Linked DNA regions of Canis lupus familiaris. The protein of the gene in region 2 purifies or fractionates together with the protein of the main gene of each other region. This does not show direct contact. Links are inferred from orthologs where the notes say so. Each region holds a gene or a part of one and is shown on either strand. Other genes may lie near its edges. The genes, in order: STRN, FGFR1OP2, STRN3, STK26 and STRIP1.

Region 1 (5,544 bases), on a different chromosome or scaffold from region 2:
TCACTCAGAACCAAAAGAGGAATGCACCAAATAAAATGTGGAATTTTGTATCTGCATGGGAATAATATAAACATTCACCTGGTAGCTCAAGTCCAGGTCAATTCATTTGATTATACAAAGGAGTCCCTTGAGCCCATTGTTAACCAAAGCACAGATGAAATGGCAAGGTTGCTCTGTCAAAATATTAAAGCATATACAGATCGATATACAGATATCGATGAGGCAAATCCAGCACACATCTTTAAAGAAAATTTGCCTGTATACTGCAAAACTCTAGAGGCAGAAAAGCAGATATTTTAAAGAAAAACTGTCAATTACTATCCATATCACCACCAGAATACATCTTCAAGAAGTAGATATACATGTTATCAGAAGTGTCATTGATATGATAATGGAATATGTAGGGAGAGGAATGTAGGAATTATATTAAAAGATTAAATTCTTTATGGATATGAATTTAAAGGTGAGGAACTATTATACATACATTTTGCTGAAAATTTGGGCATTAGTAATTTATTTCTCATTTCTACATTGGTCTCTGACATTTGGGGTAAACAAGAGAGTGTGAAGACAAGTGAGACAGCTGTAGGGATGATGTCTATATATTCAGTCCAAAGAGTGGGGTCATGGGAATCCCAAGACATGTAGGTCACAGGATAGGTGAGCTCAGGGAAGCCTGGTCCTTTATGACAATATTCTCCAGAAATGATATTGATATATTGCCTATTAAAATACTCTGAGTTTTCCAATTAAGGAATGGAAGAGAAGTAGGGGAAGGGAAAGAGAATGAGAACTCTTTAGCCAAAGTTATGCACCAAACTCTTCCATCCAGATTTCCAGATTCCCCTTATTGAATATATTAATGGAGGACTTCTGGGGTACAAAAGAGTTGCTTTATTTAGTCCAGCAAAGACAGCTGCCTGACATTAACCAAACCCTTTGGGTTGTTAAAACATAATAATTTTAAACTGTTTTTGGTAGATGTCAGATAATTTGAACATGAGAGACAAAGAGCAAGAGGTCATCTGAAGCATGGTTTGTGGGTTTTGACCAATGTGAGTACTCACAGATAACTTCCAACTTTTCAACCACTGAAAGGTCTGATTTCATCGATAGGAGATAACCATTCTGGTACTATAAATATCACATGAATAAAGTGAATTTTAAAATTAACAGAGAGTATTATAAAGATATGCCCTGCCTGCCCTTAAAAATAAACAGAATCTCAAACTTGAATAAGTTAAACCCATTAGTAAAAGCAGACTCTTATCAACTATTCATAACGGTGACTGTTTTTGACAGCTAAACTTTACAATGGTACCAAATCTATTTTCAAAAATGTAATACAATATAGAAATCTGCTTACAAACTAAATATTTGTTTAGTATTTCTGAATAATAATATATTTAACATATTATTGCATTTCTTTTTTTTTTTTCCCCTAATAGGTAAAATGCTTTGCCAGGTGCTTTATGTGCACAGATGAAAGGAGAGCTAAATTAAAAACTCATTTTAACACTGCCTGGTCATTACGCACATAGGGGTTAGTACAGCAGATATGGTAAAGATTACTGTTTTGACTACCTAATGTGTTTAACAAGATTCTCAGGGGAGAACTAGGTCTAAATTTCTGTTCTTCCTCCACTCATTCCCAGTCATCAAGCTTTTTAATTATCCCTTATAGCATGCCCTATTTACTCAATAGGGACAGGCTAAACTTATGTTCGCTCAGGCCTGCCTAGCGAATCAGAACAACCTCAGAAATAAAAGCTCCTATTTGGGGGAAAATTTGAAACAGTTTTCAGGCTCACAGATTCAGCTGAGCTTGCAGCAACCTGAACAAACCTTAGTTTTAGAAAACAGTATACGAATTGCAAAACTATACTTTAACAAATGTTCTCTGTGCTCCTTCAGCAGAACAAAAGGGCAGGAAAGGTTGATTCTTGCCCTGGTCTTCTGTATCTCTTTTGTGCAGTTGATTATTTATAAAGAGCTAGAAGGTGAAGATGATGCATTGTGTCATACAAAGACTTTAGCTAGTGCATCAGCCCCAGCACTGGCTATATAGCATTTGGATGGATGGAAAGCTACATCATGAATTGATTCTTCAAACTTTTTCCGATGAGCTGTGAACTCTTGGATACATGTCTTACTTTCTAGGTTCCATAAACGTATTGAACAGTCATGACCTGCATCAAAAGGAAAAAAAAGAAAAGAAAAGAAATTGAAAGGAAATATTACATTAACATGAAAATAATAAGGATAAATAAGTAATCCATAGTTGATGTACTTACTGCCAGACATCAAGTACAAGCCATTAGGATCAACTGCTAGACTTGTAACAGCTTCTAGGTGGGCTACCATGGAGTGGATGAGTTTGCCTTTGGAAAAAAGAGATTATTGCTCTTTATTAATAGTTTTCCTTATCCTGAAATATATGCCAGCTACCACGTTACACTGATTTCTCCAGTCACCTCTCTGAATACTTACTGCATTAATAGCTTTTTCCATCACAGCTCAACAATGTGTCTCCCTCCCCACTCTAGCCATGGTAATGAAGAAAAACAAAAGCTCAAATTTCAGATTATATTTGTGTCTTCCAAATAACAATATAAAAGTTAGTCATTTGTACACAAATATTCTTTGAGTCATGTTCATTAACTCAGACATTACTAAACAGCTACTTTGCATCCTTTAGCTACAGGTAAATTATATGGGTTGTGAGAACAGAAGAGAATGAGACAAAGATAAAGGAACAGAGAAAATCTGGCCACAGTTTTGGTGGAAATAACATATAGGAAGGGATTAAAATATTAAATTACTCATCACTCACAGCTAAGCAAAGTCAGCAAAAGTCAACAGTAGATACTCAGGTAAATTTGGCTGATAATATGGAGTGTTCTCCTATCAACACAGCTCTTCAGGAATTTCTTTTAAACTGGTGAAATGCAATTCAATAAAAAAATGGGAAAGCCCACACATCCTAATTCAAATCAATCAGAACCAGACAGTCAATCAAGTTAACCAAATGACTTGGGTTTCCAACTCCAACACTAAGGCTATGCAAACACTGAACAATTTTATTTTTTTTTCTTTTTTTTTTTCACTGAACAATTTTAAACAAAATATGATAGAATGATCATATGCCTCTACTTCCAACATGTTTCTACTTTTTCCCCAATATATTCACAGCAAGAGATCAGTTTTATTGCTATTTGAATGACCTTTTCATTGTGTCCCTATTCATAACCTTGACTCTAGGGACAAAACATAGTATCTACTTATTAAATAAACCAAGATGATTCTATATAGTACCATGAAGACTAGTTCTTAGCAGATTTGGACAGATTAAACAGAAATTGAGCTGGGAGTGTCTATATCTGTTTTCATGCCTACTCTTGGACTATGCAGCCACTAAGAGACACCCAAATCAGCGTACTTATAGTGGGGTTTGTGTTTTTTTGTTTTTTGTTTTTGCTTTATCACTGATCACTTTGCAAAACACTTACCTGTATTGTTATCATAGAATTTGATGTGCCTGTCTTCATGAGCAGTAATGCTGATGGGAAGAGTGGGATGGCTGATGACTCTATTTATTTGGCAGGAAGAACTGGCTGCAAAAAAGAAAAAAAGAGCAACAAAGTTAGTCAAAACTACTAATTTCTTCACACAAGGGAACTGAATACTCACCTAGGAGACTAAAAAAGTAAATGATTTGACTTTAATTTGTTTTTAGTTCATTTATTCTGTGACTATTTATAATTTTAATGTTTTAGAAAAGAACTGCCTGAGCAATACCATACTAACAAATATAGAAGTACCCACAAATGAGAATTTTCTTTTCCACCTGCAATCAATGGGGGCCACCCAGGCTTTAGCCTAGGGTCACTGACCTATCTCATTCTCTGATCATCTGCAATACTTCTACTGCTTTAATAAAGTTCCATCATTACTTACATGTAGACGATACTCAAATTTAAATCTCCACCTTTCTAGATACAGAGCATTTTTTTTTAAGATTTTATTTATTTATTCATTCATGGCAGACACAGAGAGAGAGAGAGAGAGAGAGGCAGAGACACAGGCAGAGGGAGAAACAGGCTCCATGCAGGGACACTGATGTGGGACTCGATTCCGGGTCTCCAGGATCACACCCCAGGCTGAAGGCGGCGCTAAACTGCTCGGCCACCGGGGCTGCCCGATACAGAGCTCTTTATCACATAGTTATCATCTGAAGACAAATATGACAAAGAGAGCTTCTGACCTCTTCAATTTCTTTCTTGTAATAGAAATGGTCATCGGGGCAGCTGGGTGGCTGAGTCAGTTGTGTCCAACTCTTGATTTTGGCTCAGGTCATGATCTCAGGGTGGTGAGATTTAGCGCTGTGTCAGGCTCAGTGCAGACTCTGCTCGAGATTCTTTCTCTCTCCCCCTCCTCCTACTCCTCCCCCAAAACTTGCGTGTGCACATGTGCACACACTCTCCCTCTAAAATAAATAAAATCTTAAAAAAAAATAGAAATGGTCATCATTTAACAGTCTATCATGTTTGGAATCTTAAAACAGCATCCTGACTATTATGTGCACTATATAGTAACTTTAAAGAATTTCAATTATATGCACAATGGGACAGGCAGGCCACATGTCCTTAGGTCCTTATCACAGTGTATGAACCAAGGTCTAGAAAAAGTTGTGACTCCCCCAAAATCATGTGACAAAGTCAGTACCAATATTAGATGGCTCATGCAAATCACACTGCTGCCAAAAATGGTACCTAAACTATCACAGGCCCTTCTGAAAGTCTTTCATCAAAAGGAAATCAATCATTAAAAAACCCTTTTAATTAGTAAGTTTTGTTAAGACCCTTTTTTTTTTTTTCAAGGAAAAAACTATATATAAAGGTAACACTAAAGATATGTCAAAGTTAAAATAATCATGTCATGGTCCAGGGAGAGGAAGGGATGACCTTATTATAAAGCATATTATTGGGAGATCTGGCAAATTTGAATATAAATGATAATTTTAGACAATAGCATTTTGTTACTGTTAAATTTCCTGATTTTGATTATATGCTATGTCAAAAAAAGAATGTCTTTTTTTTTTTTTAAAGATTTTATTTATTTATTCATGAGAGACACAGAGAGAGGCAGAGACATAGGCAGAATTCTGGAGAAGCAGGGCCCTCACAGGGAACCTGACGTAGGACTCGATCCCCGAACTGGGATCATGCCCTGAGCCAAAGGCAGACCCTCAACCGCTGAGCCACCTAGGCGTCCTGACAATGTCCTTATTCTTAGGAATTACACGCTAAAGGCTCTAGGGCTCTACACAGTGTTATGATGTCTCTTAAGTGGTTCAGAATCTAAAATTATATACATATACAGAGAATGATAAAGCAAATGTCACAATGTGCAAAATGCTAAAAACTGAATCTGGATGAAGGGTGGCTAGTGGCTAGTTTTTGTACTATTTTTGAAGCTTTTCCAAATACTTAAAATTATTTCCAAAAAGAGATACAATTTTTTAAATCTTAGAATAGTTATTAT
Region 2 (6,021 bases):
AAAGGCTTGGAGTTGATTTTGAAAGCTTCTGGATATGGAAATAAGTATACAATGAAGGTTCTAAAGCAAAAGAATAACATGATCAGAGAGATCTTTGAAAAATGAATTGGATGCCTGTGTTGGGAGACAGACTAGAGGGGGAAAAGAAACTGGAATCATTGAGGCCAATTAGGATAGTTCTGGCAACAGACCATGAACATCTAAGCAAGGGACTAAAGCAGTTGTTCCGTAGAGAAGAAAGTGAGTTACTTCATAGGTAATAACGGCATAAACTGGATATTGAGAGTGGGAATCTAAGATGACTCCAAGTAAGGTAGACATTCATATGTAGGAAAGGATAAAGACTACTACATATGATTTGGGCATTTGGACCAGAAATGAGAATACCGAAAAGGAAATTTAGTTGCCCATTTCCCTGTTTTTAAAAATATTAATTGATCCCAAATTAAGAGTCCAACTGTGTATTATAGCTCTTTCAACCAAGTTTAATTTTTTCCCTTTTTTTGTATGTATTTTTATTGGAGTTTGATTTGCCAACATACAGTATAACACCCAGGCTCATCCCATCAAGTGCCCCCCTCAGTGCCCATCATCCAGTCACCCCTTCCCCCTGCCTACCTCCCCTTCCACTACCCTTTGTTTCTCAGAGTTAGAAGTCTCTCATGTTCTGTCTCCCTCTCTGATATTTCCCACTCATTTTCTCTCCTTTCCCCTTTATTCCCTTTCACTATTTTTATATTCCCCAAATGAATGAGACCATATAATGTTTGTCCTTCTCTGATTGACTTACTTCACTCAGCATAATAGCCTCCAGTTCTATTCACGTTGAAGCAAATGGTCAACCAAGTTTAATTTTAACTAAAATCCAATGAACTATGCCTTCCCAAAGAGTATATTTTATGGTATGTGAATTATATCTCAATAGTAATAAAAGAGTATGTGCAAAAGAAATGAAAAAATTTTTTAAATAAATGTGAATCTAACTTTAAAGCCTACACTTTTATTCTCAAGGCATTTTGCTGAGTGACTTAGTAACATAATTCATTATAACATTACTGGTTTTTAGCTTTATTTGTCAAACTCCTTTGTTTTTTACAATCATACGTTCTTAATAATCTTAAAATTATATATCTTACCTTCATTCTCTTTTATTTTATAAAGATTTTATTTATTTATTAAAGAGAGAGAGAGAGAAGGGGAGTGGCAGGCAGAGGGAGAGGGAGAAGCAGGCTCCCCAATGAGCAGAGAGCCCAATGTGGGGCTCCATCCCAGGATCCTGAGACCTAAGCCAAAGGCAGCTGCTTAGCCCACTGAGCCACCTCAGGACCCCACCTTTGTTCTCTTGTTGCAGTTCTCTGATTTGTCTGTTTTCTTGCTGGATTCCCATAACTAATGTGGACCGTGGCCGATGCCTTGCAACTTCATTAAGTTCTTGAATTTCCTCCTGATACTAATGAAAAGATCAAAAAAGAACATGTTGGGAGAAAATATTTGAAAATACATATCTCAATATATATAAGGGCCTAATCCAGAATATATAAAGAATTCTTAACAACTCTCAATAATAATAATAATTTAATGATGATGTATTAAAAATGGGCAAACGATGAGTAAGTTCTGGAGAATCTAATGTATAGCAGGATGACTATAATTCTACCCCCACGTATATACCCAAGATAACTGAAAATATAGGTCTACACAGAAATTTGTACACAAATATTCACAGCAGTATTATTCATAACAGCCCCCAAATAGAAATAATCCAAATGTCCCATCAACTGATGAATGGATAGACACAATGCACTATATCCTTATGATGGAATATTATTCAGCAATAAAAAGGAATAAAAAACTTAAAACATGCTATAATATGGATGAACCTCAAGAACATTACATTTAAAAAAGTTACAAAAAGCCACATATTGTATGATTCCATTCACATGAAATATCCCAAAGAGACAAATCTATAGAGATAGAAAGATTAGTTGCCAGGGGCTGAGGGAAGGGAGAGCTAGGGAATACCTAGCTTGCTAATGGAGGTAAGCTTTTGGGGTGAGGAGAATGTTCTGGAATTAGATAGTGATTGTGGTTGCGCAACCTATGAATGTACTAAAATCCAATGAACTATGCCCTTTAGGAGGGTAAACTATATGGGTATTGTGAATTATATCTCAATAACAATAGCAAAAGAACATGTAAAAAAGAAATAAAAAACCTAGAAATAAATGTGAATCTAACTTTAAAATTGTACTCCTTCATTTTCAAGGCATTTTGATGTGCTGCTTAGTAATGTATTCATTATAACATTTCTGGTTCTTTAGTTGTCAAACTCCTTTGTTTTTATGACTCAGTACCAGATATTAGTTCCTTGGAATGCATGAGTCAAGCTGGACAGTTAGGGAGATATGTAATCTGTTTAAGGCAACAAAACAAGTAAATTTGCTCTATTATTTCCAATAGCTTTGTTAAAAGTGGTATTCCAGGGTTGCTTCCTTTTACAAAATGGATGAGTTTCACAAGAGTAGGCTATGAATATACATTTCCCCCTAAATGATTTCCATCATAAGGAGAGACTGTATAATTATCTTAAAGTTGAAAATTTTTATCATAAGTAGGCTTAAAATGGTACCTTAACCCCGTGGACCACTGGAAAATTCTTATATACAATTCTTATATAAGAAACTTCCTATGTACATTATAAGGATAATAACTGAAACCCTTTTCAATTTTTCTTTAATTGGTAGCACTAAATGGAAATTAAGGTAGGAAGTACAAATTCAACAACTGCATAATATATAAACCAGATATTGCCTTATGCCATTTTTGAAAATTCTGTTGTTAAATAACATCACCTAAGTACTTTTACAAAGAAAAATATAAACATTTCTACATTATAAAAATAAGAGAGCAAAATATATCACTATTAGTGAAAGATATTATTGGTCTCTAATATATCAGAACCTAATATATTTTCTAAACTCCAATGTGCAACTCTGCCAGAAAAACAAATAATCAAATATATGGTTTTTAGAATATACATATATATATCTGTATCACCTGGACATGACAAAATTATATGATAATCTAAAATAAAATTAAAATATACAAATCAAGTTACTTTTAAATTTTATAAAACATTAAAAAAACGGTATTAAGCAGAAATTTATGATTCAAGCAATACATAAATATCTGACTGCTTTTTTCAAAGTGGAATCCACAAGAAAGAAAAGAAATCAAACCTGCTTCATCGCTTCTACTCGCTTATTGAGAGCTGTGGTTTGCTCAATCAGAGATTCTGCTGCATCGTCATGATCTCTCAATCTTTCAACAAGAGCTTTAGCATCAGCAAGTGCCTTCTCAATTGTGCAACTCATTTCTAAAGGAATACCTATAAAATTAAAATCAAGACTCTAAACAAAGCCAGCTTATCATCTTATTATTTTAGTTTCATGTTAACATCGATATGCTTCGTAAGTTACATTTATTACAGGATTGTTCACTGGGGAGAGAAAACATGTAAGAACACTTGTGGTTTTGCTTCTGTTCGGAGGGCACAAGCTTAAAAGTAAATTTATAATATTAAAAAATTAGAGCATATATAAATGATTTGCAGACGTAATCTGCGTGTATTTAAAACACTCTGAATTTATAGTGGGGAAAAAAGTACAAATCAAGTAAATACATTTTATATTACACAGAAATTGTGTTCTTCATGAGATCATTCCCTTCTCCTGATATTTGTGAAAAAGATCACTTTATTAGTCCATACTCTGTGGTCCATGATTGTCAGTCACTAGCTATGAGATCCTTTCTAGCCTTTGCTTGGTTAAGTGACCTGAGACACCAACCATTTCACAACTCACACTTATTGACCAGCTAAAGTCGTCTCTATGTGTCATACTATGTCAGAGTGTCCTTCAGAGTGTCCTTCTTTTGAAGGAACTACTTTTTAAAAAAAAATGTTTTTAAGATTTCACTTATTTGAAAAAGAGAAAGAGGGAGAAAACACACATGCGTAAGAACATAAGCAGCGGGGAGGGGCAGAGGGAGAAACAGACTCCCTGCTGAGCAGGGAAACCCATACAGGAATTCCATCCCAGGATCCAGGAGTCATGACCTGAGCAGAAGGCAGATGTTTAACTGACTGAGCCAGTCAGGCATCCTGACTGAAGGAAATACTTTTTTTTTTTTTTTTAAAGACTTTTACCAAAAAGTAAAAATAAATAAATAAATATTTTATTTATTTATTCATGAGAGACACGGAGAGAGAGGCAGAGACACAGGCAGAGGGAGAAGCAGGCTCCATGCAGGGAGCCCGCCCACATGGGACTCCAGGATCATGCCCTGAGCCAAAGGCAGGCTTGCTCAACTGCTGAGCCACCCAGGCATCGCTGGAGGAAATACTTCATATATGAAGTATTATAATCCTAAGTCTTGTGCTTTCCTTATTAAGTGGTTAAAAAAATATATGACTTAGAACACCAGCCATACGGGAAATTTTTGATATGTTAAAAATCAATAAATAATGTGTTTAAGAAGAGCTAAAAAAATTAGCAGAAAAATACGAAACACTCAACAGTTAGCTTCTTCATTTAGTACTGAGACCTCAAAACAAAATCTTAATTTTAAAATAATCTCTTTCAAAGACTTCAATCTTCTGAAACTTAATCTTTGGATTTTTCTCGTTGTAAGGTAAGTTTTACCTTACCTTCTATATGAGCCATCCTTTCTTCAGGGTTTTCTCTAAAAGTAAAATCACACTGTAAATTTACTAGGCCAGAAGCCAGGTCTATAGAAGTTAAATTAAAACTCTGGTATGGATCCAAGCTAAGGGCTATAATTAAGAATTTCATCAACTTTAGGAAGACAGAAATTTGTTACAGAATGCAAGACTGTTAAATTCTACTGTACTGGTTCAAACCTGAATAAGAGGATTTAATCAGAATAAATTACAATGTAAAACTGCCAATTTAGAAAAATATTCAATATGACATTTTCAGGGAGCTTTAAAAATTAAACAAGCTGGAAATTAATACAAGTTCTGGTTCTCCAGATAAAATAATCGAAAGATTGATCTCCTAAGATCTGAGAGGTTTAGAAAAAGGTACTTGAAAAAACAAAAAGCAAAAGGGTCATTAAAGTTACAGCTGTCAAAAAAAAAAAAAAAAAAAGTCACAACTGTCTCATACTGGCTAAAACACAAAGGACAACTATCCAGTTCTGTCCAAGATGCTGCTCCAAGGAAGACATTAGCATCCAACAATGCCCTGTCCTTTCTCTAAACTTCCAAGGAGAATTACCTAAACTTATACATGGATAATAATACAGATTTCTTATTCATATGGGAGCCACCATATCTCCCATTAACCAACCTCACTACTATGAAACATGAGATCTTTCAGAGTAAAATTCTGAAGTTATTTACACCCCCTCACCAAAAAGAAACAAAATCAAAGAAACAAACTGGGAGGGAGAGAAGGGAGCAAATTGACTTGTAATGAGTGAGGAAAAAAAAAAAAGACTATTTGTCTTACAGTAAAGAAGATGGGTTCTAACAGATGGTCAAAGGAAATAATAAAATAAAAAAACAAATTTTAGAAAAAGCCTAGAGAAAACTGGAAAAGACTTTAGAGACAGTTTGTTTATCTTGGCTTAATAAGAACAACTCAAGTACTAAGAACTTCTAACAATCCTAGGTCCTAACCTGTAATTAATATTATTGGGACCTCTATCTGAAGAATACTTCTTTATGCTGCGTAATACAACATCTACAAATATAATAAACATTATTTTTTTTTCAAAGAGAATGTACTAAGGCTCCTACATATAATTAGATGATAGGTGATATACACATGAAAAAAAACTATATGGTGTAAAATTCAGTAAATTGCCTCCCTCTCAACCACCCCCCACCCCCTCAAGGGGAAAAGAGAAACAACAAAACAAACAAACAAAAAAAAACAACTAAGCTCCTAGATTCCTCTGGATAAAAGAATCCACAGAGACTGACAGATTAACTGG
Region 3 (6,162 bases), on a different chromosome or scaffold from region 2:
GTAGCGCTGATTAAACGGCAGTTATAATTTTTATATAACATGAATGCAAAAATCCATAAACAGTCAATTTTCTCCAAGTCTTGGACCAAATTAATCCAAATCTCTGGAGAATGAGGCAGAGGCCTGCATATTTTTAAGTTTTACAAGTGATTCTGACTAGAATTCTCATCTAGGAACCACTGTTCTAGAGCCTTACTTCTAAAGCCTTACCGGAATCCCAAGTAAGTTTATGTCATGAAGATAAAAGAGCATTAAGACATGATCCTCTGGTTTAGTTCCAAGTTTCTAAGACAGACCTTCACCCAAAATTCCTTTTACAGAGAATAGAACCACACCACAAAATTCCAACTTAAAATCCTTTACAGGAGCGCCTGGCTGGATCAGTTGGTAGAGCATGCAACTCTTGTTCTCAGGGTCATGAGTTCAAGCCCCAAGTTCAATGAGAAGCCTGAACAATTAAAAAAAAAAAAAAAAAAAAAAAAAGATCCTTTGCAAAGCCAGGGAAAACAGGATTCCATGCTGAAATTTTACATCAAAATTGGGTGTACCCTAACCTCTTCATATTCATCATTGAATAGTTCTAATATTGAACATTTCTGAGTCACTGTTCATCCACACATCAAAGTGATCTGAGGCTATACACAAAATAATATTTAAGCTCTCTTATTTCTACATTATCATTCCTAAAAATAAAGTTTACAGTTAAAATCCGTTGACACTTCACTGAAACCTTAATAAATTTTTTATTTGACACATTTTTTTCTTAAGATTTTATTTTTTTAAGTAATCTCTACACCCAACACGGGGCTCAAACTTACAACCTGGAGATCAAGAGCTACATGCTCTATCAGGGGAGCCAGCCAGGTGCCCCTTGACATATACACTGTTAAATGTGCATCTCACAAGCAATCTTATTAAAGACTGAAAGTACCTAAAGCAAATTCGATATTCCAGAAACAAACCTGAAACCCTTTTAACTAAGTAACCCAATATAACATTTTAGAAAAATATGTAGAACAAAAACAAACAGAATCATGCACATTCCATTTCAAAAGAATCAGTGTGAAATAATGAAAATCCCAGGAAAAACTAAGAGTCTAGAGACACTGTAGAACTTCTTAAAAGTAAGCAAACAAAAAAAGCTTAGAAAGGCTTTATCAGAACTAGTATTACAATAGCAGATCAACTGGAAAGCAAACAAGCAAAAGGAATCTTCCTTAAAAGACTTCACTGTTACTGGCAAAGAGAACTAAAAAGTAAAGAAAGGGCTAAGGCAGACATATAGACTTCATTATAGGTTTTTTTTTTAATTTAGACACAAATAAGCTATTTCCTCAGATACTTAAATTAGTGAAGCTTATAAATGACTAATGCACTGTTAACTTACAAAGTGTTAAAATCCAAGCTTTCGGGTGCTTACAGGGCAAAATAAATGTCTCATCCTCTAGGGCAGGGGAAAAAAAAAAAAAAAAACCAATCTTTCATACAACAGTGCAGAGGTCATTAGACACTATATCCAGGGACTGGTGAGGTATTATTTAGTGAGTCTAAGCCTCAGTGCATTTTTAAATGCAATTTTTAAAAATAACCGTCTTATTATCTTCATACAGTATACTGTTTGCAACATGGTGTAGTAAAAAGTTGTTTATCAGCAAAACTCTATAAATCCCAGATATTTTAAACTAGACTACATACATACAAGTTAAAAGAAACTACAAAAAAAAAAAAAAAAAGAAAGAAAGAAAGAAAGAAAAGAAAAAAGAAACTACAGACAATTATGATACAAGCTTTTGGAAAGTTCTATTTTTAAAAGTCCTACAGTATATCAAAACACAATTCTAAAACATTGAATTGACTAACAGGTGTTAATTTATAATTAAGTTTTTTGAAGACTTGATAAAGGGATCCCTGGGTGGCGCAGCGGTTTAGCGCCTGCCTTTGGCCCAGCGCGTGATCCTGGAGACCCAGGATCGAATCCCACATCGGGCTCCCAGGGCATGGAGCCTGCTTCTCCCTCTGCCTATGTCTCTGCCATTCTCTCTCTCTCTCTCTCTGTGACTATCATAAATAAATTAAAAAATTCAGAAAAAAAAAGAATCAGATCAGATATGAAGACTTGATAAAGTGTCAAGATATATAAAAGTCCTTTTTAAAAGTTTAGCTTCACTAACTTTGTAGAATCAAAGATAACTAATTCAAAATTAAACTAAAAAAATATATATTTGTTTGAAGACACCCTAAGTTAATCCAGTCTTCCTTCCTGCAACACCGTATCTTCCTAACTATTCACCGTAGGCATATATGATATATATATATATCAGCGAACACTACTACTTACATTCTAAATATATACCAGTCTGAAGAACAGGTGCAACACTATTTGGATGCATGCTTTTTCCTTCTAAGCCTAATTTTGCCCTGGAAAGGGATTTAAAAATAAACACAAGTACCCAAGAGTTGAACAATCCTCTTAAAAGGATGTAGCCATTCTGAAATCCAAGACGTGAGCTCTTCAACTACCAACGTTCCTCCACAAGTTAGGTGAACCAGCCTAGCAAAGTTTCACCTTTAAAAGATCAAGTAAGGCTCAATTATGAAGGATTCTGGGGATATTTAACCTTGCTTCCCCTGCGCGAGTCAGTTAACGTGGGACAAGTACGTGTCACACTTCAAGGTAACACTAAATCGTTCCTCGGTTGTTTCCTAAACACGGCAGAGAGACTCTGGTTCGGCTTCACAGGGCTAAAGGAGGGGCTGGAGGCCCGGGGAAGGAAGGGTACTCCCGAAAGAAAAATTCAATTTAGAGAAGCAGTGATGATGAGTCAGTCGCTTGGGAAGAACTGACCGGGAGGGAACCTAAGTAAGGCAGCATCCCAGGTAAGAAGGTACTTAAAGTTGGCGGTAGGAAACGTCAACTTCCCAAGTCAGCAGCAGGACACTACGCTCGGTGGCAGCCCTGGAAAGAAGCGTGGCTGTCAAGGGGCAAGTGCGCACCAACTACGGGAGAGGGGCCCAAGAAACGCCAAATCGGATAGGGGGGTGAAAAAGGAAAAGGTAATGAAATGCCCATCGCAAACCCTCCCCTCGGGCTCTCCCTCGCAGAAGGCGCAGTCAGCTGCAAGCTTCGCGCCCCGTCACCCCACGCCGGACTCTCCCACTGAGAGGAGTTCTGCCCCAAGCCCCGGAGGCCCGGCAGGCCGCCTCCAGAGGAGCCCCCGCAGACGCCATACTAAAAGTCAAAATGGCTGCCCCAAGGAAGCCCGCACCGCGCAGCTAGCAAGGGCTGGGGAACAAGCTTCTGCGGGAAAGGGGGAGGGGGGCCCTCGGGAGAGCCGTCGCCAGAGCCGTAGGCAGGACTACCGCCCCCCGAGCTGCACAGGTAGGCTGCCCCCAGCCCCCCAGGCCCGGGGCTCCGACCGAGGGGAGTCCCGGCCCCACCCCCCGGCCGGGAGCCCCGCCGCCGCAGCCGTCCCGCACCCCGACCCCAGCGAGGTACCTGCAGTTCGGCCCGCTCCACCTCCCAGTGCGCCCGCTCCATCTCGAAGCGAGCCCACTCGTGCTGGATGTAGTGCAGGATCCCCGGGATAGTGTACTGCTGCGGCCGGGACAGCTCCGGGCCTGCCGCGGGACCCGCTCCCTCGGCGGCTGGAGGACCTCCGCCGCCCGCCGCTCCATTCCCCCCTGGCGAAAGGCTCATGTTCCCCCCAGGTCCTTGCTGCTGCCTTGGAGGGGCCGCCATCCCCGGGCCGCCACCGCCGCCTCCGGCGAGCTCGTCCATTGTGTGTGGGGCCCCGGCCGGGGCGCAGGGCGAGAAGCCGACGGCTGGGGGAAGGGCCGGGGAGGGTGGCCCCGCGCTGCCGGCGGGGCGGAGGCCGCCTGGGAGAGGGGCGAGGAGGGGGTCGTTGCCGTACGCTTGCCGCGGGTCAGAGCAGGGAGCTGCCGGCCGCCGCCATTACAGTCCCTCCTCCATCTGCCCGTCTCACTCACTCACTTTAGGGAAAGGGGGGGCCGCGGCGGGAGGGGGGAGGGGGCTGGGTTGGGAAGGGGAGAGACGTAGGGCCGTCGCTCCCGCGCAGCATGCCGGGTAGAGAACGCCGCTGCCGCCGCGCGCCTAGCAGCCAAATAGAGTGCGGCCTCGCCTTACGCAGGCGTACTGAGGGCTCGTGAGGGCGCTGGAGGCGGGGTGGGGCTCTGGCCCCGCCCCCAGGCGCTCCTCCGGCTTGCCCCGGTGCCTCGCTGCGGCCTCTGGGCTGGGCTGTGTTGCGGGACACCCACCCGAACTTTCGGGCGCTCCCAACCGTCAGTTTCCCTCGCTCAGTCAGCAGCCCCTTGAGCGTCGTCCCCCCCCCCCCCCCCCGGGGCCAGCCGCATGCCTGCTTCCAGGACCGTCGTAACCTGCTGGGCGCTCTGGCCGGCTGCCGCCCGCCCGGGATGCCTGGCGTTTCTTTCGCATTCCTGGCGTGTTTCAGGACGTCCCAGAGGGTCGGGCCTCCTCCTCCGCTTGTCACTCGCTCTAAGTACCCGTCATTCCTGAGGCTTTGGGGATGGACGTTCTCTTTTGGCAGATAGCCCAGCCCCCTCCGGACACGGTGACTGGTTGCGGGTCTCGGTGTCCTAGCTCCGTGCTCCCGGGCGCGGGACGCAGCTTGTTCCACTTTGCCGCCCCTCTTTCTCCTATTCTGGGGTGGGTTGGCGCGGGGGGGGGGGGGGGGAGGAGCAGGAGTGAATGTTTTCATTTTTTTCTTGGGAGAAGGAATAGTGAAAAGCTTTAGATCTTGACGATGGTACGGGGGGAGAGAGAGAAAGGTAACTTTGAAGGAGACTTGTTAGACGAACAGTTCGGTGTTTTAGAATGAAAGGGTTCACAGGTGGCATTCATGGAATCTTGTGATGAAAACAAAATAAAAGCGTCGTGAATACAATATAAAATCCTAGATGAACAGCCGCGAAGATGTTTTCCTGGGTCATTAAATGATGTTTAAATGAATGTAATATACACCTAAAAGACACATTTAATCTTTTAAGTACCATTGTGTGTGTTTTATATGCTTAGGTTGCCAGGAAACATCCTTAATGAACTACTGTGTTTCTAAAGAAAGTTAATATAGCTAATAACCACTTGGTTGAAAAATAGGACAAGAATAATGTTTAACAATGTAATAAGGAAAAAAGGTTCAATAATTACAGCTATGCGGGAAAACTGCACATAAAATTGATCGCATTATTTTTTTTCTTCTCTACTACCAGTAAAACTCTCACTGTGTAATGCACAGCACCACTCAAAGTATAATTTCAAAAAGACTAAAATAGTACATCTTACTTAATCATGTCTACTCTTACTATGTTTAGTGATGATCTGTTACCCCTGCTGCCATGTTTTGTCTATGAAATGAGTGAGGTCTTAGGTCACATATTATTAAAAACTGTTTCTCCATATTTTTAAGTACTATTTTTCCATTTTATAGTGACCAGCATAAAACCTGCTTATTCAGTCCTCTTCCTTTTTTGAGGGGCCTCATAGTATAGAAGAAGTTCCAGGGGTGCCTGAGTGGCTCAGTGGTTGAGCGTCTGCCTTTGGCTGTGGATGTGATCCTGAGGTCCTGGGATGAGTCCCACATCAGGCTCCTTGCCTGCCTCTCCCTCTGCCTATTTCTCTGCCTCTTTCTGTCTCTCATGAATAAATAAATAAAATCTTTAAAAAAGAAAAGAAAAAGTTCCAAATATGTCTCAAAGAAATGTAGGTGAGTAGATGTAATTGATCTCTGTTATGTGGCATCAAAAGAAGAACATGAGTACTTATATTTCCCACTGGTACCTCAAGCTTAAGTAAAAACTAGATTGATAATCCTTCTATTTTCCTTCCCACCCACCTTCCAAAAAAAAAAAAAAACTATTTCTCTTCTATTACCTATCTTATTAAATGGCATTACATCCAAACCTGAGGGCTGGTAGTCATTGTACTATCTTCTTTTTACTCAGCCCCTACACCCAGTCCCTTTCTCAGTACATGTTTCATTTCTATTCCTTATCTATATCACATCTATTCCATTACCTTTATTCTTGTGTTAGTTTAAACCTGGCCACCTTAATGTTCCCCACCTTCCATGTCTGGGATAGTGCAGTCTCCCAAAAATGATTAATAACTGAAATGTGGACTAGACT
Region 4 (5,544 bases), on a different chromosome or scaffold from region 2:
GTGGTAAAGCTCCATTCGGGATGAGTATTATTTTCTCTGCTGGTGGATTCCCTAAAGAGATGGCCCAAAATACTAATATAAGTTCCTAAATAATTCTGCTTGGTGAAAATGCCAAATCAATGCAGCTAGACTCTGAAGAGTTGTTCTAATATATAAAAAAAATTATACTGTAAAAAAGCATTTGATCTCAGTTTCAGGTAGATACTATAATTTATTGAAGAAGAGCTGTGGTCCTCAACTCGTAAGTATGCATCAAAATCACACATGGAGACCTCTTCCCACATAGAAAAAGCCCTGCCTCCACCAATCCCCACTGACTGGATCAGGATCTTCTGTAATGTGGTTTTTGATTCTCCTTTAAAGTTCCATGGGCTACTTGCACAGGCAGCCACAGCCAACAAACCATTACAACAGGGTACAAAAATCATCCTGGTAGTTCTTATTCTTTTCAAAGATAGGGTAATTCAAATAAATGCAGGACACTGAGAGTATTAGCTAAAGAAACTTGGTGTTGCCTTTGTGCCAATTTGACCAGTGGAATGGTAAATTCTGGTGTAACCTACAGACTTCCCTAGTCTAAATTAAGTTATGGGCTTAGAATCTAAGATGTCAATGTAAATGCTGCAGTTAGAAAAACAGTGTAACTTTTTTAGGGGGGCTACAAAACATACATAAACGAATATTTAAATATATTAGTCTGATCACAGTTTAGCATGTGGGCAAGGGGTGGGAAAGGCCTGGAGGTCAGTCCTCCAGATGAATTTTGCAGGTTCCCCCCAAAGTATGAGAAGACATAGCCCCTTATCACTTTGGGCAAACTAATAAATCACTTTTACTCAAATCATATTCCAAAATTTTGTAATATACTTAAGTATCCACTAGGGGTTAGACCGAGACCATTTAAAACTAGAGCAATGCACTTCAAAGAAAAAAACCTGCTTCCAAATTCATTGTACTCCACAGACTGTGATTTTAAAAGATTTTCACGGTTTCTACAGTAAAACTTTAAAATAAGGTTTATATTTTATGCTAGAGAAAGCAGAACAGATACTAGTTAAAAGGCAATATTAGAATGGGCTACCTACATAAAAATTAAATGATTTGTACATACGAATCAGAGCCCTCTGAATCAGATTCATCATCACTGTGCCCTTCTGCCTTCCATCTCTTAAATCGATCTATCAGTTCGGTCAGATAAGAAGTCTTCTTTGAATTTTTTACAATGAATTTGTGTTTCAGAAGTTCTTTGGCTGTAGGACGCTAAGGAAAAATATGAAGGATGCATGAATATTTCTAGGCTCTTTTATGGTTGCAAGGGATGGTGAAAAATCATTTCAATTAAGCTGAAAAGGTAGATCTGAAAACTAGGTCTACAAACATGAAGACAACTAAAATGTTGTAGGGGTAATAAATAGCTAATTCTACCTTTTTTTAAAAAAGGATTTTATTTATTTATTCATGAGACACACACACAACACAGAGAGAGAGAGAGAGAGAGGCAGAGACACTGGCAGAGGGAGGAGCAGGCTCCATGCAGGGAGCCCGATATGGGACTCAATCCTGGGTCTCCGGGATCACGCTCTGGACTGAAGGCAGGGCTGTAAACCACTGAGCCACTGGGGCTGCTCTAATTCTACTTTTTGAAGTGCCTCAAGACAACCGAATTCAATACACTACCTTGGTACCAATTTGTTCAAGCCCAGGGTCAAAAAGGTGGCCTACCTACCAGCAAATGGACAGGCAGGGCCCTCTCAAAAGCAGAGAAACACATGGCAGGATTTTGAAAATAAGTAAAAATTTAAAAACATTTCAAATACTTTTATTATATTTAAGTTGAAAAAATGGATGACAGCTAGAGGGCTATAATTTATTATCATCTGCACACATCATATGATGCTCAGATTAAGCCTTTCTCCATCATGCATTAATTCATAGCACATCTAAATGCAAATACCAGGTGCTATGGGGGACATTTCTCCCCTAGTGTTTTATTAATATCAGCATAATCATTCTCAATTTAAAAACAGTTCCATCGAAACCTAGTTCTTGTACATTTCTAGCCCCTAGAAGTCACCAGGCAGCTTTATTTTAGAAACAGTAAAGAAAAAAAAAAGAATCAGTAAAGCAACTGTGATCAAATCTGCCAGGTAAATGAGTGGAGTTCACTGGACTTCAGAAAAAGCATATAACTTCATATGTTGGAAATTCAAAAAAAATGTGAAATGCACATATCACTTTTCATGAAAAATAAAAATACAGTTGAATAAAAATCACTGGATAGTTACACATGTACTTTAATGACTTCCTGTAACAGGAACTTTGTATCTCAAATTTCCTTCCTCCTGAAATAAGAAATGATCAATAGAATAAGGAAGAAGCTAGGAACCATGAGAAAGAGAAAAAAAAATACAATGGAAGGAGAAGATAAAGTAAGGGTCTTGTTAAGAACTGAAGAGAATTAGCAAGACAGAGCGAAGAATCAGGTTCCTAGAAGGATCTTAGACAATACACAGGCACTGTATTCCTCACTGTAGAAAAATCACATTTGCTTTATATAGATTTAATAATAGAAAACAAATAGTAGTAATAGCAATATATACTCACAAATGATGGATCTTTGTTCAGGCAAGCATCAATAAATTCCTTAAAGGACTTAGTAAAGTCTCCAACAAGAGTTGGAGGATTGTTTTTTGGAATAAGAAACAGAACTCTCATTGGATGCATATCAGAATTAGGTGGCTCTCCTTTGGCTAGCTCAATGGCAGTGATTCCCAATGACCAAATGTCAGCCTGAGGGAAGAGAGAGAAAAAAATAATACCTCGAAATTCCATTCCAACAGTCATGAAATAGCCTGTGGGTCATATGATATTAAAGTGTCTCAAGAGGGGTGCCTGTCTGGCTCAATAAGAAGAGTGTGCAACTCTTGATCTTGGGTTCAGGAGTTCGAGCCCCACGTTGAGGGTAGAGAGGACTTAAACAATGAAATAGGTAAAACTTTACAAAAATAGTATCTCAAGAAATGTAAATGTAATACATTTTTTAACAGAATTCATTTATTTAAAAAATTATCAAATTCCCTAATGTTTTGCCAGGTACCATATTCTAGGCACTGAGGATTCAGGTGGTGAGTAAAGTAGACAAAAATCCCTGCTCTCATAGGGCTTGAGTTCCAATAAAGACACAGATAAATAAATAATATGATGTCAGGTGGTACTCGGTTCTGTGAAGAAAAGAATAAAATCAGGATAAAGGGATAATGAGTTATGGGGTCCTGGGGCTACACATTTACACGGGATGGCTAGGGAAGACTACTCTGTGATGTAATGTGTTTTTTAAAATGATTTATTGATTTATTTTAAGGGGGAAGGGCAGAGGGAGAGGGAGAGAATCTCAAGCAGACTCCAAGAGCGCAGAGCCTGGCATGGGGCTGATCCCAAAACCCTGAGATCATAACCTGAGCCGAAGCTAAGAGTTGGATGCCCAATTGACTGTGCCACTCACCCAGGAGCCCCTACGCTGTAAAGTAATGTTGAAGCAGAGACCCGATTGGTAGGAAGGTTATTCCAGATAGAGGGAAGGCTGAGTACAAAGGTTCTGAGGCCAGAGTGGTACTTGATATGTTTGAGGGATAGCAATGAGTCCCCTGTGGTCAAAGGAGACAGAATATAGAAGAGAGTAATAGGAGATGAGGCTGGAGAGGCAAAGGCCAGATCATAGATGGCCATGTATGTGATAGTAATGATCTCAGATTTTATTCTAAGTTGGACAAAAGGTTACTAAAGGGAATAGGGTCCAAATACTATCAGCATCCTGGGATCTTATGACTTAGCAGGAACACTTGACATAACTCTAGCTTTTGAAATACTCTTAAAAGAAAGAAGATTAGGGCAGTTTATTACATAGAATAGCATGCTATATAGAACCTACTATTAAAAACAAAATATTTTTTACAGGTACACTTTACTTTTGAGTCATAAGCTGACTGTTGAATAACTTCAGGAGCCATCCAAAATGGTGTTCCCACAAAGGTATTTCTTTTAATTTGTGTATCTGTCAGCTGGCCAGCAACTCCAAAGTCAGCAAGCTTAACATCTCCTTGTTCTGACAGCAAGACGTTGGCAGCTGGGAGGAAAAAAGAAATGAAATCTGCTCAGCATCCTCAGGACACAGCTACATTTCTCAGGTTCATATATGATTTTTGTATACCTTTTATGTCTCGGTGAATTTTCTTTTCTGAATGCAGATAGTCCAGACCTTTCAAAATTTCCTTTAGCATGGTAGCAATCTGGAACTCATCAAATGGACCAGCTCGAAGCTTAGGGGGGGAAAACACACACACTTTTATACATGTCTGAACAACCAAGTTCAAACCGGATATTATCTTTGAAATAAAGGAATCACTGAGATATACAAAGCAATTCTGCCTTTATTAAGCCAATATTGAAACAAAGGGGAAAACAATTTAAAAGGGAAGAGAGTCAACAAGTTAAGTCAAAGGGCTGAAAAGGTTTTTACATGATTAGATTTAATCTCGAAATATAATACAAGTAGTATGACCCCTGTACCAGCTCCAAATCCTGAGGTTCTCAAATATTTACATCTAAGAGTTAAGAAATATGCTAACAATGACAGAACTAGCTTTCTTCTCTCAATCTCTCTCTTTTTCTTTTTTGGCTAGGAAAAAAGAAATCAACTACTTAACAATTTTGGTGTTGGCTATTTAAATGATCAACTATTTACACTAAACTATTTTGAGATCATACAGTCACTAAGATTTCCACAGCAACTTGACTAGATCATATAGGTCAGCTCACAGCACAGTTCTTAGCATTCGTGTATCTCAATCACTTTGGAAAGCCGAGAGCCTTTTTGAGACCAAAATTTAAAAGTTAGTTAGGAATATATAATTAATCTATTCAGACTTCCATTGTAAAACAGAACCCAAACAAGCAAAAAAAAACAAAAACCAAAAACCAAAACAAACAAAAAAAAACAATGATCAAATCGTGAAAGTATACAGTTTTTTCAAATAACCATAACACATTTCCCTTTCTTTCCCCATCCCTGTACCAAAGCCAGTAGTTCCAACTGGAATACAAGGAAAGCAATGATTAGGTTTCAGGAGAAATTGTAATGGAATATCTGAAAATCTCTCTTTAAAATAAATGGTTATTTTAAAATTCTGGTACCTCATAAAGCACAAACAGTAGACTGTACAATATTATTACAGGAAAGGGTGGGAATCTAAAGTCAGGGCTGAGGTAGAGTTCTGTTTGCTGGAAGGAGGGAAGAGGTGGTGGAAATCAAACATCGCCCACTCTGCTTCACACTGGGAGGGATTCACAGCTCTTTGGCACCTTGTGTATTTCATCTTTCATGAATGCCATATTTATTCTGAATAAAGGGCACTTTCATGTTGAAATTTAACAGCTTAAAATAGAACCCATACTTCAGTCTTGCCATTGAATATTAACTGTGGTCTGGATATATGTTGTACTCCGGGGATGGCCATAGTTCAATAGGTGCCTTTCCTAGGTAACATT
Region 5 (6,310 bases), on a different chromosome or scaffold from region 2:
CTGCCTCTCTCTGTCTCTATGAATAAATAAATAAAATCTTAAAAAAAAAAAAAAAAAAAAGTCCTCACAATGGAATGAACACAATGCTAACTCACCAAATTCAAGACTGCCACAAGACCAGAAAACTCAGTAAGAGAAGTTACTCTCTACATAAGGTGGAAGGTCATGCTGCTGCTCTACAGATTTCCAGACTGAAACACTGATATTTTTTATGTTATTTTTATCACATAAAGCTTCCTCCGCTCCCCATATTCACACTCTGAAAAGCCACCACCAGAGTACCAGCAATCCCCCTCTAAAGCTCACAGGGGGCCTTGAACAATCATGGTTCAGCAGGTCTCTTAGGCCAGTCCAGAATGACTCAAGTCGCTCAGATGACTAAGAGAAACTCTGCAGCTCTCACCACACAGGGACAGAGGAACCAACAAGTGCAGGGAACCGGCTCACCATGGATCCGGAAGTCCTCCTCAAAGCATTTTCGATTCATCAGGAATTCTGGCCCTTCCGTGTAGCTGTAAAGCTCTATTAAGAACAAAGTCTCATTAGCTCCACGTCCACCTTCCATAGCAGTTCTCATAGGTAGCAAAGAATATAAGGCATCTGCTTCTAGGCCCCAGTCTCCCTGAATCACAGTGACTCCCAGACTATCCAATGACTAAGGGGGTGTGAGTGCTCTGATGTGCACGATGCAGAGAGTGCTGATTCCCGCTAGCAGCCGATAATCAGAATGCCACATAAATCCAGGCCTTTCCAGTCCTGTGCACATCAATCCCACCATGCCATGACAAGGCTGACTGCCACCATGGATAAGTGTCTCTCAGGTGGCCCTGACCTCCTAAATAGGACCTGTACTATGGAGGCCTGAGAAGCAGCTCAGGCTAGCTTCACATTACATGTGAGTAGCAGTGGCAGTAACAGATGTGCACAGATGCAGGCACATTTGTTGGCAAGCCTCATGAGTGACCTACTGCTCTAGGAAAGACCACTGCTGGGCACAGAGTGCATGGCCAAGGAGCATCACTGTCTGCGACTAGGCCACAGCCAAAAGAGCTGACCACACAGAAGAGGTGCTTCACCAAAGTAAAGGAAAAGCCAAAGTTATAAGATACACAAAGCCTGAATCCCATAATTAACATGTTTACATATGTGTGTGTGTGTGTGTATATATAAGTATGTACATGTATGTAAACATGTTCATTATAAATATATATATGTGTATATATGTATATATATATAAATCATAATTAACCAGGTGAAAAAATGAACTCCAAAATGACATTCACTTTTTTCTTTTTTTTAAAGCTGTTCATTGCTTTAATTTTGACATCTAGAAGAATTAGTCTCTACTAAAAAGTCATAGGCCATAACCTAGAGAATACCTTTTTATATTGCAAAGCACTTGTGACATTCACTCTCAATTTTATTGAAGACCAATACAGAAAAAAGCACCCCCAAATAATATGGAGGTCTGTGTTTTACCTGAGAGCTCTGCAGCCCACTTGTCTGTGTCAGCATATTCAAACTCGAGATCTGGCGACTCAGAATAGCCCTGTTGAGAAAAGGACAAAGAGTAATGCAAGAGACCATCCTGTTTTCCAAAGGAGGAAATACATATGCATTGAGACACTGTTGTGTTATAAGACACCACTGCCTCCACTTTTCTTAGGTATTAACACATTTATCTCCAGGGCTAGCTCAGGTCTTCCTATTAAGCCCTTGCAAGAACACCTTCCACTTTTCCTTAGTAGCACAATTTATATATATATATATATTTTCTAAGATTTTATTTATTTATTTATTCATGAGAGACAGAGAGACAGAGGCAGAGACACAGGCAGAGGGAGAAACAGGCTCCATGCAGGGAGCCCGATGTGGGATACGATCCTGGGACTCCAGGATCAGGACCTGAGCCAAAGGCAGACGCTCAACCGCTGAGCCACCCAGGCGTCCCTCAACTTATAATTATATACCAGCATGTGTGTTTATTTCATGTATGCCTCTCCATGAGACTCCAAGTTCCTTGAGAGAGAGAACTTGTCCACTCTGCTCACCTGTGACTTCACAATGCCCAGCACGCTACCTGGCTTGAATGAGCGAATATAAATGAAGAGTTTATAGTCAAATAAATTCTTGTTAGATAAATGAACACAAATGAACACAAAGCCTCTATGTATTCTGTGCAGTGAATGACCCATTCCACATGGTGCTAAGATTCTGGAAGCCTCACTTCTTTCTGGCTAGTGGTAAGCCATCAACAATTCAGGGCAAAATGAGTATTGACAGTCCGCTTTCCTGCCCTTCTCTCAAATTTCCGTGAGAACTGACGGGCAGAATGGTGTCCCTCCAACAGACAGGAGAGAAAGTGACAAAGAGAATCTGTTCACTGCTGGGGATAGGTGATCACGGAGACCACACCATCTTGAAAACCTTGTGCTAGGAAGAGAGAAGGGACGAAATAGGTAAAGGCCTCAGGCCTAATTACAAGCTACTTTGTAAGACAAAGAGCACTCACAAAACAATATAGCAAACCCACAGAGATGGAAAAACAAAGAACTTTACTCGGTCGAAGGCAATAATGCATACTTTCTCTAGTTACTGAGCTTCAGTTCATTTATGGAAAGGGGATGATAAAAATCCATCTTGAAGGTTTTGTGTTTGTTTGTTTTTTTAAGTATTTATTTATTTATTTAAGAGAGCCCATGAATAGGTGGCAAGGAGAGGGAGCACACTCCTCACTGAGCAGGGGGCCTAACCCAGGGCCCGATCCCAGCATCCAGGGATCATGACCTGAGCTGAAGGTGGACACTTAACTGACTGAGTCACCCAGGCGCCCCTATCTTGAAGGATTTAAGGACTAATCAAAATTATGTAGCACACAGTAGGCTCTCCCCAAGACCGCCTCGCTGTCCTCCAGGCACTGCTCAAGCTCCCAGCCGGTGGATTCCAGCTATGCCCCAAAGAGCGGAGTGCAGCTCTGGCATCTCCAATAAAATAACTGAAGCAGGTCTCTCAGCTTAAATGTGTTCATTGGCTGCCTTCCCTGCGATGAGTCTATATGGAAATTAAAGGGTAGAAAAGAGAAATTTACATGCATCAGAGGGTCATGATCATTGCCTTGATCACTGAAGGCTACTCAGGAAAATCTAAAACTATTCTTAAGCTCTAAGTCCTCTCCTGATGAAGGCAGGTTCACTCCCACGCCTTTCATACTTCACCATGCAAAAGCTCCTAAAAAACCAGTTTCACTGCTTTTTCAAATAATTCACTTCAAGCTCAGAGTACCTCTATTTTGGACTTGCCAAATTTTGACACGTTTTCCCAGGGGCGTGCGCTGCCACCAGGACACCAAAGCCTGAGAGGACCGGATTTCCCGGCTGTGAGGCCGGCCGCGGCGCGGGCACTAGCGGGGGTCCCCTCCGAGCGACCTCCGAGCGACCTTCGGCGGGGGCGGCCGCGGGTCACAGCCCGGGGCCCCGGCGCTCCCTTCCTGAGGTCTCCGCGGGGAGGCCGGGAGTCCCGGGGCGCCGAGCCCGCTCCTCCGCCGGCCGTTGCGGGGCGGGGGGGGGGGGGGGGGGGGCGGCGTCCCGGAGGCGGGGCCGGGGAGGCCGCGGAGGAGCACCGGCTTCGCGCCCGGCCGGGGGCGCCGGCCTCGCGCCCCGCTCCTTTCGCTGTGAAGTGCCACCCGCCCGCGGGCCCGCCCGGGCTCCGGGAAGCCCACGGGAGCCCACGGGGAGCCCACGGGAACCCACGGGAAGCCCACGGGAGCCCACGACCAGCCCGAAAGCCGCCCCCCCGCGCCCGCGGGCGCTACACCGGCCCCCCAAGCGCCTGACCTCCGAGTCTTTGCGCTGGTTGCGGTTGAACTCCCGGGCTTTGCCCCCGGGCAGGAGGCCCCCGCCGGCCCGCGGGGCCCCGGGGGGAGGCTGCGCGGCTGCGGGGGGCGGCGGTGGCGGCGGCTGGGGCTGCTTGTTGTTCATGATCAGCGGGACGGGAACGCCGGCTGCCGGCTCCATCTTGGCGGCTCCACACCCCCGGCTCAATTCTCGGACTCTAGTCTTCATGTAACTCTCGCGTGATTTCCTCCAGGAACGCCCCCCCCTCGTCGCCATATTAGGTGTGTCGGCAAGTGCCGGAAGCCATCTTGGCTGCCCAACACCTCGCGAGATCATCTCTTCCCGGGCTCTTAGCTTTCTCTCCGCTTGGTTCTCACCCCTTTTTAGTCCTTGTGTGGGTGCAGTTTTACCTGTGAGTAGTCCCATAGCTCCTCAAGTCCTTGACTTGCCCCCACTTTGCCTTAATATAGCTTTGCACTTGTCACTGTGATAGCCCTTTGCAAAGCTTAGGCGACCGAACAGTGAACAAAACGGGCAGGATCCCCAGTCTTCAGGGAGTGGACACTCACCTGGGGGTCATGGGCGAAACAAGTGGCTAAAGCAATTAGAGTTGTGACTAGCATGCATTCATCACTCATTCAACACTTTTTTTTTAAGAGATTTTATTTATAAGAGACACAGAGAGAGGCAGAGACAGGCAGAGGGAGAAGCAGGCTCCATGCAGGAGCCCGACGTGGGACTCGATCCCGGGTCTCCAGGATCACGCCCTGGGCCAAAAGTGGCGCTAAACTGCTGAGCCCCCCGCGTGCCCCTACCGTGCAAAGAGGCGTGGAGGCATCGTAAGCAGAGGGTCCTGGGGTCGCTGTGGCAGTGGAGTGAGCCAGGGGATGAACAGGAGGAGATGAGGGCCAGATAAATGCAGAGCCGTGAAGGGGATGAAAAATTTTTTTTTTCTATTTTCTATTCTAAGTAAAATGGAAAACAATCAGAGGGTGTTAACCAGGGAGCTGTTGTGGTCTGAAGTTTACAAGACCAATCTGGCTGCTTTTGGAAAAGGAATTAGAGACTTGAGAGTGAATGAGGGTAGGCAGGTTAGGAACTTTGTAGATGAAAATGATGGTGCTTGCACCAAAGTGGAGTTAACAATATTTCTATGTTGTGTGGGTAGATGTGACAGGATTTAGTAAAAGGTTAGAATCCTATCAGCAGGTTAGGGTGGAGTAAAGAATGAGTCCTAGATTTTTGGCTTAAGCAACTAGGTGAATGGTTGTATTGCTGATTACATTAGGGAGGTCTGGGAGAAAGAAAAACAGGTTTAGGAAGATCAAGATTTCTCTTTGGGGCATGTCAAGCTAGAGATGCCCATTAAACATCTTAGAGGTAACATGTGATAATTACCTGTTACTATGCTGTGAAGGCATTAAAGGCATTTTCTCCGTCCTTGTCCCTCCAGAACTCCATCTTGGCTACTCCAGCTCAATTCCCAGAAAGTTCCCCGTGATGCAACTTTCTCGAAATTTCCACCATCCAACTAGTAGTTGCTTTAAAAGTCTTTGTTGTAAACTGATGAATAAACTTAAAGCCACTATGTTGCTTCTTCCTCCTACTGATCTTCCCATCCTTTGCCCATTTCCTTTTATGTCTAATAATACACTTTGTAAATTAGCATTTCATCCAAGCTGGGCTGGGCCAAGGTGATAGGAAAAACTAGGAATTTGCAGGAAAAGGACTAATACGGCTAACCTTTTTGGATAAAATTAGCAAGTCCCACAAAACCCAATACATAACTGCTCTCTAGTTTTAGTCACCAGTTTGGCCAAGTTCTAAGACTGACCTATACCACAAGTTCTATCACCTAGGGGGAAGAATAGACCTTGAAACACCCTATACTGTTTCATCTCCGTTCAGAGTTGGGAAAGTTTAAGGTATTAGTTTAATAATTCCACTTCTATTAAAAGATTCTAAAGAAACAAAGATTTAGATGAAGATATATATGTGATGATGTTCCAGCCATTGGTGTTTTCAGTTGTATAAAGTTGGGACCAACCCAATTTGAGAAATAGCCAATAAAAAAAATGACTAACTAAATAATGGGGCTTTGATAAAATTGAATATATAGAAGATATGAATATTCATGTTTAATATTAAGAAGAATTTTCAGTGACACGTAGGAAAATAGTTATGACTTTCTTCTTTCCTCATCTGTAAACTGATGATAATCCCATGTTTTATGAAGGCTATGGATCAAATTATGTGAAATCATTTTGAAAACTATAAAGTGTTTTTTTAAAAAGGGGAATTATTATTATTACCAAGAGGTGAACCCTACAGTGAGAAGGCCCTTCCTTTGCCACAAGTAGTCATGGGGCTGCGCCCAAGAACATGGTAGTGGTCCCAGGTAGGCTCTGTAGAAGGAAGTTGGCCCGTGCTGTGTACCTCTAGGGTGTCATCTACCATCCATACCTAACTGCATATTT

The links.
Region 1: the proteins of FGFR1OP2 (region 2) and STRN purify together in Homo sapiens (affinity purification with mass spectrometry; 4 studies listed by BioGRID and IntAct, with this or other methods). This does not show direct contact. The link is inferred for Canis lupus familiaris from reciprocal best matches to the Homo sapiens genes FGFR1OP2 and STRN.
Region 3: the proteins of FGFR1OP2 (region 2) and STRN3 purify together in Homo sapiens (affinity purification with mass spectrometry; 5 studies listed by BioGRID and IntAct, with this or other methods). This does not show direct contact. The link is inferred for Canis lupus familiaris from reciprocal best matches to the Homo sapiens genes FGFR1OP2 and STRN3.
Region 4: the proteins of FGFR1OP2 (region 2) and STK26 purify together in Homo sapiens (affinity purification with mass spectrometry; 4 studies listed by BioGRID and IntAct, with this or other methods). This does not show direct contact. The link is inferred for Canis lupus familiaris from reciprocal best matches to the Homo sapiens genes FGFR1OP2 and STK26.
Region 5: the proteins of FGFR1OP2 (region 2) and STRIP1 purify together in Homo sapiens (affinity purification with mass spectrometry; 3 studies listed by BioGRID and IntAct, with this or other methods). This does not show direct contact. The link is inferred for Canis lupus familiaris from reciprocal best matches to the Homo sapiens genes FGFR1OP2 and STRIP1.

The regions. Positions count from the first base shown.
Region 1 is NC_049238.1:29,431,118-29,436,661, forward strand, and holds part of STRN (striatin), read right to left. Parts: intron 3,615-5,544; coding exon 3,510-3,614; intron 2,382-3,509; coding exon 2,295-2,381; intron 2,190-2,294; coding exon 2,020-2,189; 3' UTR 1-2,019. UniProt on the Homo sapiens protein: Calmodulin-binding scaffolding protein which is the center of the striatin-interacting phosphatase and kinase (STRIPAK) complexes.
Region 2 is NC_049248.1:25,862,688-25,868,708, reverse strand, and holds the start of FGFR1OP2 (FGFR1 oncogene partner 2), read right to left. Parts: upstream 3,404-6,021; 5' UTR 3,375-3,403; coding exon 3,240-3,374; intron 1,451-3,239; coding exon 1,333-1,450; intron 1-1,332. UniProt on the Homo sapiens protein: May be involved in wound healing pathway.
Region 3 is NC_049229.1:10,485,946-10,492,107, forward strand, and holds the start of STRN3 (striatin-3), read right to left. Parts: upstream 3,984-6,162; 5' UTR 3,779-3,983; coding exon 3,497-3,778; intron 3,380-3,496; exon of another isoform or gene 3,112-3,379; intron 3,055-3,111; exon of another isoform or gene 2,912-3,054; intron 2,878-2,911; exon of another isoform or gene 2,732-2,877; intron 2,675-2,731; exon of another isoform or gene 2,521-2,674; intron 1-2,520. Other genes in the region: small nuclear ribonucleoprotein-associated protein B'-like, read right to left, coding at 3,993-4,536. UniProt on the Homo sapiens protein: Calmodulin-binding scaffolding protein which is the center of the striatin-interacting phosphatase and kinase (STRIPAK) complexes.
Region 4 is NC_049260.1:103,928,167-103,933,710, reverse strand, and holds part of STK26 (serine/threonine-protein kinase 26), read right to left. Parts: intron 4,317-5,544; coding exon 4,208-4,316; intron 4,124-4,207; coding exon 3,966-4,123; intron 2,791-3,965; coding exon 2,605-2,790; intron 1,261-2,604; coding exon 1,112-1,260; intron 52-1,111; coding exon 1-51. UniProt on the Homo sapiens protein: Serine/threonine-protein kinase that acts as a mediator of cell growth. Modulates apoptosis. In association with STK24 negatively regulates Golgi reorientation in polarized cell migration upon RHO activation.
Region 5 is NC_049227.1:42,384,127-42,390,436, forward strand, and holds the start of STRIP1 (striatin-interacting protein 1), read right to left. Parts: upstream 4,029-6,310; 5' UTR 4,014-4,028; coding exon 3,834-4,013; intron 3,433-3,833; exon of another isoform or gene 3,283-3,432; intron 1,550-3,282; coding exon 1,480-1,549; intron 523-1,479; coding exon 448-522; intron 1-447. UniProt on the Homo sapiens protein: Plays a role in the regulation of cell morphology and cytoskeletal organization. Required in the cortical actin filament dynamics and cell shape. Part of the striatin-interacting phosphatase and kinase (STRIPAK) complexes.